Lepisosteus oculatus: one gene and its partner. The protein of the gene in region 1 binds, or shares a complex with, the protein of each later gene. Links are inferred from orthologs where the notes say so. Each region holds a gene or a part of one and is shown in the gene's direction. Other genes may lie near its edges. The genes, in order: drc3 and gas8.

Region 1 (9,072 bases):
AGCCTGAGAGCCTCTCCTCCCGAGGAGCTGCAGGGCCGCTCTCTCTCCCTAGTGACTCTGCAAACAGTCTCTTAGTTAATGAGAAGCTCCAATCAGCTCATTGACAGGACAACTCCCTGACTGAAACTTTCCTCTTTATACCTGAGCTCAAAGGCAAGCAGGCGGGTTGATCATCCCTGATCCCAGGGTCTTAATCTGGTGATAAGGCTTACTGCTTCACCAGTATCCTGACCGTGGCAAACCCTGTCGTACCTCCATATTTTTCCCTGGCCGTGCATCTTGGGTGTGTGTCTATATTTTGTGTGCACGCGGTCTATTTCTGCTGCAATCTCTGCCACAAAATACATCATTTCAACCTACATAAACCACAGCAAAGCATCTCAATGCAGTTCATCCTACAGAGATTGCAGCCACAACACGGCAACCTTCAAATTGCAAGAATCCTTGCAATGCAGCCATCAGAGAATAGTGCCACAGCAAACAGCATTAAAAACAACTTTGTTTTTGCTCATATTTTGCTTTAAGACAAACTGGTCAAGCCACTTTGGGAATTTGCTGGTCCAGTGAGGTTTTGACTATATTATCATATTTATTCTTCAGATACAGAGTGTTGGTAGTGTGTAGCACCTATAATCTAGGTGTTTATACTGTATGTGCTTGTGTTAAAATCACAAGGAGATCAACAACTTCCTGGCATGGTAACTTTAGAACACACTTCAAAAGGTTAAAAATAACCCTAATTCTACAAAGATTCCTTAAATATCAGGATTCCTTAAATATGTTCCATCATAGATGTATGTGACATTTCACATCTCTGCTGCACTTCTTTGCCAAATGGGGATCAGTGTGGAGGTTAAAATGATACGAATACGACGCCCAGATCTCCACTGCACAGAAAACAGGCTACTGCACTTCTACAAGACAGTATGTCAAGAGTGGAATTGCTTGAACTCAAAAGCCCATCCTTGTAGGACTGCACTGCTTGCACAACATCACAGAAGAAAGCTGCAGATGCTGAAGTAAAAACACTGCACTTCCATCAGGTCATTAAATTGCCTTCTGCTTCTGGGATATTGCTTGGTTCCGTCTCCATAGTGACTCGGAGCTCCAGATTAAATTATGGTGCAAAGAACAGGCAGGGCACTTTTAATTGAGTAAAGGCGAACACCCCGCAACAGGGAGACCAATGCATGAAGCACAGAAAAGCTACATCATTAAAATGCATTGGGTCAGGTGGTCGCCTGGTCCCTGCCAAAGAGGGAAAAGTGGCATGCCTGCTTTTGTTTAAGACTGATTTTGCAGTTATTGCCGTCAGCTGCTCACAGAAAACATGCTGCAGCCTGCCCAGCCAAACCTCTGCAGACGTCGAGAGAGGTGACTTCGAAAGAGGAAAACGGAGAGCCCTGTGGACATTCCCCGGATCAGCACAATCAAGTGCTCTACTCATAAGGCTGCTGTTCTAGAGGGGAGGTCTTTGACCTCTCCTGGATCGGACAGTTATAAAAACACGAGGAAGCCTGCAGACCAGAGGACGCCATTCGAACCAGATATCTCATCTGGTTGCTAATCATCACTGGCCAGAGGCTGAGACAGCAGTTAAAGACAAAACACACACGGCTTTTGCACACAACTCAAAATCGATTTTTTTATTTGCATATAAATTTATAACCGTGTCTGCGTCAGTATCATTAATCCTGTTGTGCATAAAGTGGATCAATGAAATATTCTGGCTCTCTGGTAGGGCGTGTGCGTTAATTCCTTCTTTTCTGTTGACACTCTGCAAAGAGGATGCAAAAATGACACAAGATTTGGGTCTAATGCATTCAGAAACATAACACTTGAGATGAGCAAAACTACAAACATCTGTCTGGGTTCTGGAGCAGCTGCTATGCTTTGCCAAACTGTCTTCCTCCCATCTGGAAAGCAGTACACAACAAATCCACATGCTGATGGGGACTGGCAGGATTGGCAGGGAGAGGCTCTCATAAAGTATGTGGTTGGCATTTGCCTGTAAGCTATTAAATACAAACGATAATTACCAGTGTTGCCAGAAGTACTACATCTAAACAAATGCTTCCAGATTAATCTATCGGTCAATCTGATCTGGAAAGGATGCACATTATTATATTAAATTTAGACTTAAATCTCTGTGACAGCTCTAGTTTACAACAGCCTCAGAGGCTTAGGGTACTGTACTTCACTACCACACTTGGACACAGCATGAACATGTCTGGACGTCACACAACTAACACAGAAAGATTTCTGACCTCCAGAAACACCAGCCTCGCAATGTCCTGTTGTCACATCAGTGTAAACACAGGCTTCTTCGCTCCTGAGCCACACTTGTGAAAGCTAGAAAACCAGTCTCTACAAACCCTGTTTTAGGCAGGGTCTCACACAGTAAAGGTCACTCTTTCACGAACTCAGTCATCCAGTTATAACTACAAAATGAGACTGCAAACTGGAAGAGTAAAACTGACAAGGAAGAGCTGTCTGATATATTGCAGTCTTCTCAGTCCCATCGTGGATAAGGCTTTAAAACTCCACAGTGTTCAGGCCTTACTTTTATTCTGTGCACACCAGTGTTATCTTCTGGGCTGAGTCCAACCCTTATAGCACCACCGCTATTGCACCCAAGCTAATAAAAGCTGCTGAGGAGCTCCAGTTCTTATCAGGGCATATCTCAAAAAAGATTTCAAGAGCAAAGAAGCCCTGCATCATGGAGAAACACTCTCCACTGCATAACAATCAGCACACCAAGCAAATGCAGCGGAGCACAAAAATAACCGCAGAACTCACTGCTCAGATTAAACTGGCCCCATCATAAAGGACTCACAGACTGTGACGGCAAAGAAGCACACTGCCCTTTTGCCCGTGAAAAGAGCAGTCCCTGGCCCTGACACATGAGACCCACTCAAACTCATTCAAGCAGCGAGCCTGCGGTCTCACACTCTTATAGCAATCGCACAATCGCACAGTGATTACGGCACCGCACAGTGTGCCCGCAGTTACACTCCACAGGAACACAAGTTGTGATAACCAGCATTGTCAGATTTAATCATTCTTTTTGGTGTGTTAAGAAAAAAACTGTTTGTCAGTTCTCTGGACAACAAAAAAATCTGTGCAGAGAACTGTCAGAATGACAGATTGACCACCATTGTACAATACACACTAGCTCATCGGCAGATCCCCACTGCTCAACTGCTGGTTAGGAGCTACCAAGTGAAAATGAACAGAAACTCGCTTCCAGGAGAGGATCACCTTTGCAGAATATGAAATAATGAGAGATGGTCAGCAACTGGGAAGCCACAAAAAAAACAGTCATAATTGTCACAGGAAACTACAGAGAAGTGGATTTAAAACTAAGAACTGGAAACAGTACTTCATGCAAAGGGCTGTGGGATTACTGAACATGTTACCCAGCAACATTAGCTGCAGTTGATAGCATTCAGGAAACAGCTGGATGACATCCCTGGATCAGTGAACTCCTCATTGCCGACCAGGCTAGCCGGGCCGAAGGGTCTCTGCTTGTTTGTCTCCTGTCTTGTGTTCTGATGGGTTTACTGCTGAGGTCTCAGGGCACACGCTCTCGGACTGCGATCGCAGAGATCCAACTGTATTTTCTTCTTTTGCTGAACTTGAAGTAGGCAGTTGTAAAACAGCCTCTACAACTTTTGACATTATTTTCTCTGCATTGTGAATCAGCTGTCGAGCCCATAGGAAGAAAGCTCAGGGCACCTGAGAGAAAGGATCTCTTTCTTACGCACAGGCATGAACACTAACATACTGTTGCACTAACGCCCCGATATTTTGCCAATGCTATGTACAGTACATGGCTTCACCATACAAAAATGGTTTTAACTGAAGGGCACGATGAGACTACAACTCACCACCATCCGCTAAAGGCGGTTCTAAGGCCGCCCCCTATCTCTACAGTGGAAATACGCGACTCTTGTATTGAATTTCCTCACTGATTAATTAATCGACACACCGTGAAACGCTTTTATTCTGATTTCCCCGACGAATACACTGATATACCCCCACAGCACTCATGCCTTCTCCGGAAGCAAGACTTCAAAAGCGTGAAAACACAAGGATTGCGAATCGAGGGTAATAAGTCCTGTCGCCAGAGATCCTGGTACATTACATCACAGCAAGATTGTACATCACGCAATTCCAGGCCAGCTCAATCTATTTTCTATAGCGCAAAGAGTGTGTTTGTAAGTTTCTTAAGCATACAAAATAGCACGTATCTCGGGGCTCATTTTACGACACTCTACCGTAAATATGTAACCTGTCTGGGTAAAGTTACGTTTACGGTATCTCTGGAAAGTGACGTATTTAATGGACCCCTCAGTTCATCGCCCTTAACAAAAAGAATAAAGCAGACACCGTCGAACAAAGTGACTAACTGTCGCTGTTGTGAATGGCGAGTTTCAAACTGTAATGAGAATATTTCTCTCCACACAGCAAACATTTTCAAGAGCATCGCGATAAAAACGAGGCAGGCGATACCCGAGCTCTAACACACTTCAAACATACAGAAGACGATATTTAACACATTATTAACAAAAACAAATCTTATTTCACTCTGGAAAATAACCATAAAAAGCCAACCACATTTAGACAGGAGCTAGGATAGAGCTGGTAATTCAATTAGTTGCGTGACATACAACACACAAAACAGCTCTTTACACTCCTCCAAAACACGAAAATACCTACGCAATATGATGCGTATGAGTGTTAAAGCTCTGAAAACACAAACATAAATCACAATTACCTATACATTGCCCCACCGGAGTGCTGTACGGATTTCCCAATAAAAACTCCATCTTGATGACAACAAACAATCCTCACTGACAGGCACTGAACAGAGGAGCTCCCGCTGTCTCCGCCCCCCTGAGCAGCTGATTGGGCGGCGGGGCTAAAGCTTCGATCTAATTGGCCAACCTCCACGTCGTTCCAAGTTAAAGCCTACGCAGACGCCACCTCTAGGGGGCGATCGCTGGTGGGCATACCGCAGGCCCTCCCAGGGGCCGGCTGGCCTAAGGCGATTTGCTATTGGTTAAGATCTGCGCGATGGACCAGCTGTACTGATTGGTTGTTCACCCCAGCCCTCGCGCGAAGCAATCGTTCTGATTGGCTGAGAGCGATGTAACCCTCCAATCGGATTGGTGCGTAAAGGTCTACGTCCTTCTCGGCGGGGCAGGGGGCGGGTTGATGGCGCTTTTATCTTTTATAGGCGTAGGCGTTTGTCAATCTTGCCTAAATTACAAAAATAAAATGTGGAAATAAAAACATTTTATTTACAAGGATTATCAACAAGTTATTGTGGAAAACGGAGGTTGTAAAGCCTAGGTTACATACGTTTTTATAATTAATTTAGATGCGTTGAGTGTTTGGTTGCTAAGTAACGTGAAAAGCGTCTGGCAATAGGCGGGTCTTCAGAGAAGAGTTTAATTTCTCAAAATTACGATTTACTAGCTTTGCAACTGGTATGTTGGTGTCTTATTCTTTTTTTTTAAAACTAAACTGCACTAATTGCTAAAGTCTTTGAAATAAACTAATTTGATCGTGAGAATATTATGTGTATCGGTATTATTCATACATTTTATATTATTATTTATGCATAACTTCATGTTAAAAATGTCGAATCCGTCATGTCTGTGCTCGTTTTCTCTTGCTTGTAATTTTATTTGCGAAGTGAATTGCGAATATTGTTGTTTTTCCCGTTTCAGTAGGTAATGAATGAGTAAACACTGCAATGCCGTCTAGAAAAAGTAGCTCTTTACAACAGGAACCTTGAATTTAAGATGCCTTTCTCTGTAAAACATGATAATTCAAAGATGCCTCCCTTCCGTTAAACGAGACGTGAACGTTTGCATTAGCATTTAAACACCGGGCGTATTTTGGGATCCTATTTTCAAACTGCATCTCTTTGTGTCCCCTACTAATCTGTCTCCTTCTCCTGCATCAGAGAGACCTCTAGCTACAAATTTAGCTACAGCGAAGGCGTGCAGCGCTGCACAAACTGACATTTTGGGTACAGTCGGATTGCCTGCTTCATGAATTAGTAGTGAGATTGTTAACCAGACCTTGACCACGCTGTGTGACAGCTGTTTGAGATACTGAAAGTCCCTCAGCCTTCACAGTTCAAAGACACAGCATCTTGATACCTGAACAGCATTAATATTTCACCAGTGCGGTCAGGCCTCAGAGGCAGACTACACACTGCAAAGCACAAACTGCTCCCATTTGGTGGCATCAGGCCTCTGTGTCCAACAGCTATCACCTTTCAGCATATATCCTCCCAGTACTCCAAAACGAACACTTCTCGTCTCTTTTACTTTCTGTTCCAAATCCTCTTGGTTAAAGAGCCACAGATCTTATTTTTCTGGGAAGGGGGTGGGGCAGAATGCTCATAGGTGAAGCCTGTTTATCATGGGTGAAGCAATCATTAGGTGGTGGAGCTCATTGTCTTCCAGTCTTTAAAAAGTGGTATCATTTAATGCAACCGCTCCAGGAGTTGCTTGTGTGTGTGTGTGTTTTTTGCCTGGGAGCAGGCAGAAGCAGTAACAGGGCCAACGAAAGCATGAGCCGGCTGTACGACACCGTGGAGCCCAGCGTGGTGGATGAGCAGATGCTTCAGAAGGCCGTGGAGGAGCAGGGACCCCAGGACCAGGCCGGGAGCATCGCCAAGGAGGAGGGCATCCAGTATGGAGAGGTGTGCCAGCTGCGCCTGGACTACAGGAGTGAGTCCCAGGGGGCGCTGGGGATGTCGTGGGGATTATTGGTTAGATGTGATGCAGCTGTTGAGTCCTTGGGCAGATTTATTTAGCAAAGGCCCTATTAGGGCAACCTCCAGGCCATCATAGAGCTTCTTTCTACTCTGGTTAATTACACACAACAAGTACAACGAAGTGGCGTTACATGTTCATTCTGTTGGGGAGTCTGAGGGGCATTAAAAAAGCAATTCTGCTGATCCTTTTTTTTGGTGGCTATGTTTTGATTTTACTGTTGCATGTCAGCACCAGCTGAGAAGACTGTTTTCTCAGGAAAACTGTTGCTCTTTGTGCCTTTTCACAGACATCCTGAAGATTGACCACCTGTGGCAGTTCACCGCGTTGACTAAGCTGCAGCTGGACAACAACATCATTGAGAAGATCGAAGGGCTGGACTGCCTGACCAACCTGGTGTGGCTTGGTAGGTAGCAGAGTACCAGGATGCAGGGAATCCCAATTTAAGGATTAGACACTTACAGACCAGACCCGTGGTGAGGTGCAATACAATTAACTCCATTTTATCTGCTGTGTTCATTTGCAGTAGCTTATGACAAGGTCAGAATAGTTGAATGTCAAGAAGCCTCTATGACTGAGATGCAAGTTCTCCATCGTTAATATCTCCTATCAAAATGTGAGGTAGCATTACAGTTATACACCACAAAAATAATGTCTGACTTATTTCATTTGTGTTTAAGTGAACATATTTTACAGGACCTCTTTTCCCTCATCATAACATTCAATGAAATATACTCTGTAAAGTAAATAAAGTTATTACTAAAATAAATATTCACAGTGTGACTTTTACCAACAAGCTCTACCGCTTTTTCTCTCAGACCTCTCTTTCAACAATATTGAGGTGATTGAGGGTTTGGACTCTTTGGTGAAGCTGGAGGATCTAAGCCTGTACAACAACAGGATCTCCGTCATCGAGAATATGGACTCCCTTCAGCAGCTGCAGGTCCTTTCCCTGGGAAATAACTGCCTGGCCCAGCTGGACAACGTAAGGCTCGGCAATGAAGTCACACTCAAACGCCCGACAGACACCTGTTTAGTGCCTGAAACAATTAAAAGGCAGTGAGCTTGAAGTGGGCGGGTTGGGGCAGCCTTTCTAAACTTCCTCATTCTCCCCCTGGGTGATCGCAGGGTTTGCAGCTGCATTCGGAGACACAAAAACACATCACTGGCAATTATAGTGTACTTGAGGAGGGCAGGACGCAATAGGTAGGTGATTCTAAATTTAGAAAGAAAGTTTAGTGGGACTGAGCTGTTTCACATTTATTTTGTGTACAAATTTTAATATTTAGCTTTAAATATTGTCTTGAGAGGGAAAAAGAAATGTGATCGTACAAAAGTGAGATGCAGTTTGTTTTGTGACAAGTCTTTCACTGTGAAAGAACTTTGCCAGGTACTTTATTTCAGCAACTGACAGGCCTATCCAGCAAATGTGAAGTAGCATGACAAAATGCACAAGGACTACACTTACACTGAACCATCTGTACCTCACCAGAAAATATGCTCTGCAGGTAGAGCAGAAAACCAAAAAAACATTCTGTGAATTCATCTTCTGTATTGCCATTTCCCTCTGTTTTTGTAGGTGGTTTACTTGCGGAGGTTGAAGAGGCTGCGCACGCTGAACTTGGCTGGAAACCCCGTTCACAAAGATGAAAACTATAAGACCTTCATCACAGCCTACCTGCCTAACCTGGTCTACCTGGACTTCAGGCTGCTGGATGAGCAGACCGTGAGTCACCTCATGCTGTCTCACCTGGTCAGGTATCACGGCCCTGCTGAGCTGTCCTCCAGGAAGACCAGGGTCCCACATGCATGAACAACTGCAAGCACTTGGGCATAGTTTGTGTATCTAAAGGAGGGCTGTTTAGTCCTGGTTCTGGAGGATCTGTGTGTCTGGTAGTTTTCATTCTAGCTCAGCTCTTAATAAGCTAATTCAGCTTGTTATTGACTCAGTTGGACTAATTTAACCACCTCTCCCAGCACTGCAGGTACTGCTTCTGTAGATACATCACAGCCTTCCAGGGTCAGAACTGGATCTAAATTTCTTAAATCTATAACTAAGACAAATTAACCCAACAACCGAGTGACTGAAGTGGATTAAGGTTTGTAGTTAATCAGCCTGGGGGGATCCTGCAGTTAGTCAACACCAGGGGTGATGCCAATAGAATCTGTCTGAGTCACACACAGTAATCCTCAAGGATCATGGGGAAATAAATATCCTCAATAGCCAAAGACCTGGAAAAAGGGGGACGTAAAACTAATTAAGTCAATGTTGGAC
Region 2 (9,606 bases), on another chromosome or scaffold:
AGGGAAGACTGCCACACACCGAGATAACAAGATTCATCCATAAACGTGCTGCCATATTCCGTTATAATTTCCTGCAGCGTGTCACCCAGGGCAAGCTCTGAGACTGGAGACAAGACAGCATTTTGCATTGCTAGTGAACATACTATTCTGAGGACAGAGGTACATTTCATAGGACATTTGTCACCCACGAAAAAAGTCTTAAAAAATTGAAATAAACCCTTAAACTGTGAGCCCTGTTAAACAGTACACAGTATGTTGTATGTCAGTATTTGCAGTGTAGTTCTGTCACATTAGGAACAGCAGAAGCTAGAGCCAGAGATCCATGATTTAGGAAGAGCTTAATTTAATATAAACTTTTTTTCCCGTTAAAATGAGTCATTTATGTTCAATGTTTGTGTATTCTTCTTGTTTGCTGATGGTTAGGTTCTCTGGAAAATTCGCTAGGAAATTTGGTGACACAACATTTAGTCACTAGAGTAGGTAACTAATGGAATATGATGTTGTCTTGTCCTGAAAGCAAACTGCAGTGCTTCTTGGTCAGAAAGGGCATGAATAATAATGCCCTGCGGTTCTTCATCGGAGATGTCCTCACCTTTTGCTGCATCGGCTGGTCAGAGACCGCAAGTGCCGCTGCGATCTCTCGAGCTGAACCGTCTCCGGTCCGACTCGGGAACAACACCAGTGCTTCTGCTGCAACAGGCGGCGGAGCGGACACTACACTCCGGCAGAAAATGATTTGCGGACGCGTTTCGGAGGGAAGTGATGTCGCTCACGGCTGTGGGAGTTGTAAACCGTGCCAGACCGAGGGCGAATTTGCGAGTCCAGGATAAGTGAAAGCAAGCGCAGTCTAAACACGCTGGGCTCTGGTTTCACTGTAACGAGAGTCCCTCACCACACAACACAATAGCTTTTTAACCCTTAGAACAGGCACAGCGAGTCAGGCCACAATTTAATTATGGATTTTATTGCAGTGTTAACTAATTATGGTAAGTTACAGGTGTAATGTTACTCGTCTTCTTCAAACATTTTGTCCAGTACTTTTGCAGTGACACAACGCTTTTGACGCAGTTCACGTTACGGTAAACCACGGGAGATCAAAAATTGCATAGCCTCTCATTTAAATTATATTTTTTTTCTTTACTTTGGAAGGACATTGGTTTGTTGTGAGCTCTAGTTGGAAGACACATAGGTGGGACAGCTCAGACTCGGGATCTAAATAAACGCTTCTCATTTCTAAATACCCGAAACATTAAGCTCGGTAACAAATCCTAACAACAAGGCCACCGTACTGATAACGATATTGATATTTGTAACCGTTTGATAGGACGATAAAGCTCTCTTAAGTATCTTGAATACTGCTATATACATAAATAATGGTGCGAGTATAAAGTAATTTGTTTTCCATCCATTTTACATACTGTACTTTACTACTGAATGTATAAGTCTGTTTATGCTGCAGCTCATGGTTTCCTTTCTTCCCTGACAGAATCTGTCACAATATTAAGAGAAGATCTTTTGGGACTAGGAGTTGTAAGCAGCATGGCAATTGTATTATAATTCTCTAACATTCACAAAATTCTTTGAAGGGGCACTATTAAGTAATTCGTATTAATGTGGAAATCCTTGAGACCTTTTTTCTACTGTACTCTTGTGATCTCTACAGTTAACCTATAAAGATAAAGATCTAATGATGGGACTGTTTCCTAGTTTGGAAACGATTGCACATTGTGTCCCTGAGCTGACAACTGAATGTAGCAAACGCTTTGTTTTGGGCGTTTTTGTTTTCTTCTCCGCTGGTCATTTTCATGGTGATCCTGACTTTTGACTCTTCCAGTATTCATATTATTCAAAACGCTCGGGGTCTGCAGCAAGACCTGTGCTTGGAGGGGGTGGGGAGGGGAGGGTGGTTTCTCCCTGGTTCCTCAAGTCTTTGTGTTGACCTGCCTGTCAGAGGAAACAATTTTGTGTGTCAGGCCAGTACTAAGCTTTGTGGTCCCGTCTGTCTGAGCACATGGGACCTCTGCACCATGACACTGGGCTCCTGGTGAGTCGCCCATTTAAATGAGCTGATCCTGAGATCCCGGACCAGCTTACTGGCTCTGCAGTTTTTACAGTGACAGAGATGAATATTCCAGCCAAAACAAAATCAGCACAGAGGAGTCCTAGGCAAAGTAAGACATGTCTTATCTTTCTCTGGCTCTGCAAGACTGTCTTTAGGAGGTAGGCTGTTCTACACAGTGTAATTTTATCTTGTGTTTTTCAGTGTAGTGATGTAGCTTTCAAAGCACGCTAAGACCTCTGCAGAAACACACAAGTGAGCTGCAACATTTACCATTAAAACAGACGGTTTATGCTCTTTTCTTCACAATTGTACACGTGAAGTCCCCGAGAGCCCTACAAGCAGAGCCAGACAGCAGCAGCAAGTTTCTTGTACTGAAAGGAAATGTTTCGGATCGCTCTAAGATCTACCGGTCTGTGAAACTGAAACGCGGTGCACCCACCTGGGGTACCTGCCCCTCCTTGTGCGTCCATCCAGGCAGGTGGTGTGTCCGGGGCTGTCTAAGGCAGCAGCATGAGACAGGAAGAGAGAAAGGGAAGGAGACAGCAAGGCAGAGCGAGGCGCTGGCTGCACTCTCCACGGCATCAGACACCAGCAACACCCTCACCGATCCTCACAGCCGGAGTATCCCCGCAAAATCACCACCCTGGGCATTGCACCAGCACAAACATGTTGCCATGCAAGCAAAGATCACTTTGCAAATTGCAGAGCCACGCTACACTGTAAGCATTGCATTGTAAATGAGCTCGGGAAGGGAGACTGCAGAAAAAAAGCAGAGTGAGAGAGAGAGAGCAGAATGCAAGACACACTGGCGATCATCCAGATCTGGATGGGGGGGGTGGTGGGAGGGGTGTGGAGTGCGAGCTCAGGGTTTTGTGTGTGTAGCACTGAGCCACACCTAAATCAAAGAGGAAATCATCCATCCACTTCCTGTTAGCGTGGAGTAAAGCTATTCATGTAGGGCTGGAAGACACCATCCAATTTGCACAAAACCTAACGCCCGATTCTTCCCATCAAGGTTTAAACCTTAAGTGCTTGCTGTTGAAATGAAAGTTTGATTTTTTCAGATGTTCCCATTTGAAGGTAGCCTGAGGGAAATTCCCCATTATGCATTCAGCTCTTCTGACATGGTTTTTCTCTGCTATAAAATTTTCATAAGAGTTAAACACATGCATGAGATTAGGGCTCTCTGAGTACCCTTTGTTTTTTGAGTGATTCTTCAATAGACAAGTAGTGTTCATTCTTTATTCTTAAAGGCATTCTGTGGAGTTAATATCTTAAATATTGTACACACTGGAAAACAGCAAAAAACTAGCATTGGAACAGAACTGGAATAACACATTCAGAATAATTTTAAATAATTGAAAAGCTTCAGAAATGAAGTCACTGCAACTCAGTCCAATTAAATGCTAGAAAACTTATTCTTTGCTCAACAATACACATACAGCTCATCACGAAGGTGCAGATGTTTGCTAGTAGTATGAACAACTGGTGATACAGTGATATGATGTGGTGTTCTTTTAAAGGGTTAGGGTTAGGGTTAGGGTGTGTATTTTGTGTTCTTTTAAAGAGGTGAAAATGTGCCTGGGTGGGTGTCACTTGTAGGCAATGAAGAAATGAAGGGCATAGAGCAGTGACACCCTGTAAAGTAATCCCACAGGACTCCATTTTCTAACCACCGGCGCAAGGCGGGATATGCCTTGGACAAGAGATGCCAATCCATCACAGATCTCGCTGAATTATTGAATCTACCAGGAAGTGAAATGTACAGTATTTGACTGGATAGTGGACTGGGATTGGACATATCACAGCATGCGATTGCATCACATCCTAAAAATAATTTGTCACCCTCCAGATTGTAATCTCCTGCTCTATGAAAAGAAAAGGTTAGGGGTCCTGTACTGAATAGCTGGTACGATTTGGAGGAGATACTGTGCTCTCATTGTTAAGTGGAGACCTGAAAGAAACACAGCCACCACAGAACATGTACTGTATGTTTACATGGAGTGAAACAGCGTTTGTACTGCGAAAATCAGGGGGTTTGGCTTTGCAGTTTATGATGACCTTTTCTTCTTTCAATTTTTTTCCTACATTTTCTTAACAAAAATAATACCTTTAAAGGAAATACTATGAAAAGTTTCTAAAATTGAACACCTGTGTAAATTGTTTAATACGGGATGTTTTAGAAATATATTTCACATTTAACTGACATTTTGAGGCACACGTATGCTTGGAAAAGCAGAATTATAGTATTATTCTTATATAAATTAACTTCATTTTATGCAATAAATCTGTAAAGCTCACCATCTGGGGCCCACATAGTCATAAAGGTATAACGAATGTGCTCTTAATTCACTGGGAAAGTGAATAAAATACAAATGAAATCTGAAATGCATGCTGGCTATTTGTCACTCATATTATCATATTATTCGTAGAAAAAAATAATGCTAATACGGATTTTCTTTTAAATTCTATGTGAAAATAGGCTAAAGAGTCTGGACATATGTTAATTTTGGGAAATGTGAATGGAGGAGCTGGAAATATCTGACATTTCTCTTATCAAAATTAGATTTTCATTGGATTTCTGGGGCACTGTCAGGACAGCTACATCACTGAAATCACTGGGATTACATTTTATTATCTTGCTGTGGTTTTAGTTAATAACTCGATGTCTAAGGCAGCCCAATCTCCTCTTTTATCTGTTTACCCTTTAAATGAAAGCCAAGGTTGATGTTTATTTTCGTACAGGATTATGGATAAAGAAATATGTTTATGTATTTATCTTTAATAAATACATGAAATATTTTCACATTGGTTGACTGTAGTACACGTACTGTAGATATCTAAAAGTTTTTCATCTTCATTTGAACGTACTTGTCTTTTGAAGCCATCTTTATTTACAAGCTGTCGTTAACATTGTCTTTCCTACTATTGTCCTAATTTTCTCAGCCTGCTGATTATAGAAGTACTTGTGTATGCACCATTTCTTTCACAGATTAATGCCTTTGATGGGTAGCCAGAGGAAAAATTAGGATTTAATCAAGACACATTTCCTTCCATCTTTCAGTTTAGGGCTGAGGGGAACAGAACCCTATCCCAGCAATCCGTCACAGTGCACACTAACACTCACACCATGGCCAATTAGCCTACAAGGGTGTCTTTGGACTGGGGGAAGAAACCAGGGCACCTGGAGGAAACGCATGCGAACACAGGGAGACGAGACAAGCTCCATGCATATATACCCCAGGAGCTGAACTCAGGGACCCAGCGCTGCAAGGTAGCACAGTCTAACCACTGTGTCACTGCACCATCCCATCAAGTAAAAATGGAAAAAGATTACTTCAGATACTTTTTATTTTTTCCATTCATAGGGACCTGCTGTTTTGTCAGGCCACACTTGGTACCTAAGCGGCAATATCAAATTAATGGAGACTTCTGTCTTCTCACTTCATCATCTATTACTGAAACAGACCTATTTGAACGAATCATGTCTTCTAAACGTGTCTTATCTGTTGTCTGCCGCAGACAACATTCCTCATTTTTGTGCCAGCATAAAAATGCTGAATTTATTTGTGTTGATTCGCATAACAAACCTTTAACGAGGTACAGTGGAGACGACTACAGTATTTGTCCTTCATTCACATGTACTGTATGCAAATCGATTTCATCTCCATATTTTGTTTATTGGCGTTGCCAGGAAACGCGCGTTTCCTGCTCCGTGTCCTTCTCGCGAGAGCACGGCCGTTGCCAGGAGACCGCTGTGTTGCTCTGTAGGCCGATGCTGCAAATCGCGACAGCAGCTCTGCTAGAACAGCAAAATATTTTCACCCCTGCCTTTTACTCAGAATCAATAGTTTCTTGAAAATGGTAAGTCTGCATGTATTTTACTTTTATTTTTACTTACGGTAGCTTTGGAAACATGATTTATGAGGATCACCTTGGGGTTGACGATCGTCGCTGTGAAAACTAAGCGTCCAAGTGAATTGATTTTATGCGTAATAATGCAGTCGAATAGTTTAAGATGCTTTTGTTAAACAACTCAGCTTTTGGACAGACGTGACGTCGTGCTACTGTGTGTGTATTGTGTGTTGTGTGTGTGTGCTGTGTGTATTTTGTGTTTTGCTCTGTGGGGTGTGTGTTGTGTGTTGTGTTGTGTGGTGTGTGTGTGGTGTTGTGGACGCTGCTGCTGTTGATCTTGAGTTCTGAGGACTCAGTAGTAAATCTGATAGGAGGTTTTAAAAGGCTGAGGCGCGTCTCTTATTCCCAGCCTCCCAAGAAGAAGAAAGGAGGGAAGAAGGGGTCGGCCAAGGGGAAGAGCCCCACTGTGGTGGACGGGATTTCCACGGAGGAAATGTCCAAGGAGCAGGTGAGCTGTGGCGATATACTCGTGCGCTGTCGCGACGTGTTGTATTATGTTTCAGAATGTTTAAAAGAAAGGCACATGTGACATTAAATTGCCAAATAAAACATCGTATAGAAAGTAATATAATAAATAATCATACTAAATAGTAATAAAGAAAAAAATAAACGACCATAAACACGTGTGTAAAGACAGACAGACAGTGTCAGGCAGACACAGACAGTGGTAAAAAGGTGAGTTTTGACTTTGCATTTGAGGAGAGTCCAAGATTTTGTCCCTGGCAGAGTCTGAGAAGCACGTTCCCTGTCACTGCTACACCTGTGCAAGCGTCCACTCGCTCTGTTTCCAGCCCCAAGGCTCGGCTCACCTCCAAGTCTGTGGCTACTTGTGTGCAGCTGGAGGAGCACATTGTCCGCCTGCGAGAGGAGCTGGACCGGGAGAGGGAGGAGCGCAACTACTTCCAGCTGGAGAGGGACAAGATCCACACCTTCTGGGACATCACCAAGCGCCAGCTGGAGGAGAAGAAGGCGGAGCTGAGGAACAAGGACCGGGAGATGGAGGACTCCGAGGAGCGGCACCAAGTAGAAATCAAGGTTAGGAGGGCTGTCTGCTCTGTTTGGCTTGCTAATATTTTTTTTCCCCTACCAATATTGAACAAACATGACTTAAGGTAAGAACATACTGTAAGAAAGGACAACTGAGAGGAGGTCTTTCAGCCCATCTGGTCTGTTTGGTAGTCAGTAGCTAATTGATCCCAGGGTCTCATCCAGCTGTTTCTTGAAAGAAGCCGGAGCATCGGCTTCAACAACATGGCCGGGCAGCTTGTTTCACACTCCCACCACTCTTTGGGTAAAGAAGGGGCTCCTGTTCTCATTTCTAAATGCACTTCCGTCCGTTTCCTCTGGTTCATGTATCGGTGCTCTATCTGAAGACGGTCGCTGGGTTAAGGGCATCAAACCTGTGCTGAGTTTGAACACCTGGGTCAGGTCTCCCCGAGAAGGGTTCTGGTCCTTCAGCCTGCGTGGGACGTTCCCTTGAGCCCTGAGCTCCCTCAACCAAGGAGTGCACTTCATAATGGGATGAAATAGAGCTGGTAAAGAGTGTTGAGGGCTTTTAGTGGTTACATGTCGTCCACTAAGGGCAGATTTGTCGTTTTATGAAGGTTTACAGAGTATCACTGGTATGATTGTTGGCCTCGGTTTTCTGTGAGGATCGTTATTTGTGCCCAGTTTCTGTCATAGTCCATAAAGGCCTAGAAGAGGGCTTCCAATCCAAAATCATTGCTGAAATTTTACATTGTGCATTAAATGATTTTCTTTTTTTATGAACATCTATGTCTCTAAGCAAAATGCTCAGAGTGTATTATAGCCCTGATGACTTCAAGATGCAATCATAATAACCTTACAATTTTCCTTAACATTGAAGAGAATGGTGGGTGCCTGTAAAAAAATAATAGGTTACCTGAATAATTAATAACAATAATTCAGTTAAAAAATACTTCATTCATCCCCAGGGGAGTAATTAATATAATTTCACTCTGATTACTTTTCATGTGGTTATTGTTTCAGAACTCGTTTGCATTGATAGTAGTCCTTTTTGTGCTGCTGCAGAATATTGTGGATTGTTTCGGCAGGTGTACAAACAGAAGGTGAAGCACCTGCTGTACGAACATCAGAACAGCACCTCCGAGCTGAAGGCGGAAGGGGTCATCTCTGCGAAGCTGATGCAGAAGGAGCAGAGCGAGAAGGAGGACGAGCTGCGGAAGGGTATGCGCACGCTCAAGGTGGATATAAAAGAGCAGGAACTCGCCAATGAGAATTTGGTCAAGAGCTTGAAACTGGTATGTGGACATTTTTTTAAATGTATTTAAAAATATATATCATATATATGTTTGTATATATATTTCATTTTAATTGTCCTCTGTGTTTAACTGGAAGATCGAGTCTTAATTTAAGCTTTTTTCTCCACTTACAACCTGAATAGAAACACGATGAAGAAATTTCCAAACTGAGGAATGATTTTGAAAGACAAGTGCGAGGTACAACTTCCTTTTCAATAATGCCATTTCCCTTCTACAAGTTAAGAGGCCAATAGATATGAGTAATAAACTGGGATTTGTGTTTGTCTATTTGTATTTTACTGTTTCGCTTGTAGTCTTGATATATAGCTCCACCTAGTGATGTAGATCTGTAACAGTCAGAATATTGCTGTGTGTTTTCATATTCGCTGTTGGACAGAGACTTACTGCCTTTGTGCTGAAACACGAGACAGAGACAGCTCTGAATTCATTGTCTCTGACTAATGTATTTCATTAGATGATAAATGAGAATGTCATTGTTTGCCATTCTCTGCATCTTGAATGAAAAACAAAATAAAATACTCTTTGCTGGAGTTTACAACCCTCGTCAGGAAAAGCAGAGTAAAAATGGATGGATGGTTAAAGAAATAGCTTATGTGCTCCGAATGTAGATGTTGCCTTCATTATTTTTTCCCTTGATACATAGTCTAAAATTCTTTAATATTCATTTAATATTCTGTGTATGGCAAACCGATAACTTGCTAGTTAGATGTCTGTGATGGGTACTTTCAAAATATGTGAATGTTCTTATTGGTTTTAACTAAAATAAATATGAATTAAGTTTTATTTTTTAATTGCTTTATTAATTGATTAATTGCCTCATATTAATTGTTTAATAATCCCTCTTAAAGGCCCTTTTTCCTTTACTTCCCGTTGAGCAGAAATAGAAGCAAAGTATGAGAAGAAGATGCAGGTGTTGCGGGAGGAGCTGGAGCTCAGGCGGAAGACGGAGATCCACGAGATCGAGGAGAGGAAGAACAGCCAGATCAACACGCTGATGAAGAACCACGAGAAGGCTTTCAGCGACATCAAGAATTACTACAACGACATCACCCTCAACAACCTGGCCCTGATCAACTCGCTGAAAGTAAGGAATGAGGAGCACAAAGTGCCTCTCGCGGCCAGGCTCCCGACCGGCTGAGATCTCTTGTCCTTGTGCTGTGAAACACACTGAGGTGGAGGACATTTTGAATCCCATTTGTAAGCCAAAATACTTATTTGACTTTTACAAATATATTCAGGTTTTTGGAAATCTTCGGTGCTCATATTAAAACATTTGTAGCTTTACTTCCACTTTTAGTAATGACAGTTAATAATAATAACAACAAA

The links.
Region 2: drc3 (region 1) and gas8 share a complex: the UniProt entries of both Homo sapiens proteins name them as parts of the nexin-dynein regulatory complex. The link is inferred for Lepisosteus oculatus from reciprocal best matches to the Homo sapiens genes DRC3 and DRC4.

The regions. Positions count from the first base shown.
Region 1 is NC_090714.1:17,590,290-17,599,361, forward strand, and holds the start of drc3 (dynein regulatory complex subunit 3), read left to right. Parts: upstream 1-5,185; 5' UTR 5,186-5,495; intron 5,496-6,560; 5' UTR 6,561-6,592; coding exon 6,593-6,752; intron 6,753-7,086; coding exon 7,087-7,203; intron 7,204-7,615; coding exon 7,616-7,782; intron 7,783-8,376; coding exon 8,377-8,523; intron 8,524-9,072. Other genes in the region: TOM1-like protein 2, read right to left, coding at 4,781-4,832. UniProt on the Homo sapiens protein: Component of the nexin-dynein regulatory complex (N-DRC) a key regulator of ciliary/flagellar motility which maintains the alignment and integrity of the distal axoneme and regulates microtubule sliding in motile axonemes.
Region 2 is NC_090715.1:16,577,217-16,586,822, forward strand, and holds the start of gas8 (dynein regulatory complex subunit 4), read left to right. Parts: upstream 1-5,807; 5' UTR 5,808-5,923; coding exon 5,924-5,926; intron 5,927-6,326; coding exon 6,327-6,425; intron 6,426-6,768; exon of another isoform or gene 6,769-6,814; coding exon 6,815-7,012; intron 7,013-8,052; coding exon 8,053-8,259; intron 8,260-8,402; coding exon 8,403-8,457; intron 8,458-9,158; coding exon 9,159-9,364; intron 9,365-9,606. Other genes in the region: dbndd1 (dysbindin domain-containing protein 1), read right to left, coding at 2,502-2,532. UniProt on the Homo sapiens protein: Component of the nexin-dynein regulatory complex (N-DRC), a key regulator of ciliary/flagellar motility which maintains the alignment and integrity of the distal axoneme and regulates microtubule sliding in motile axonemes.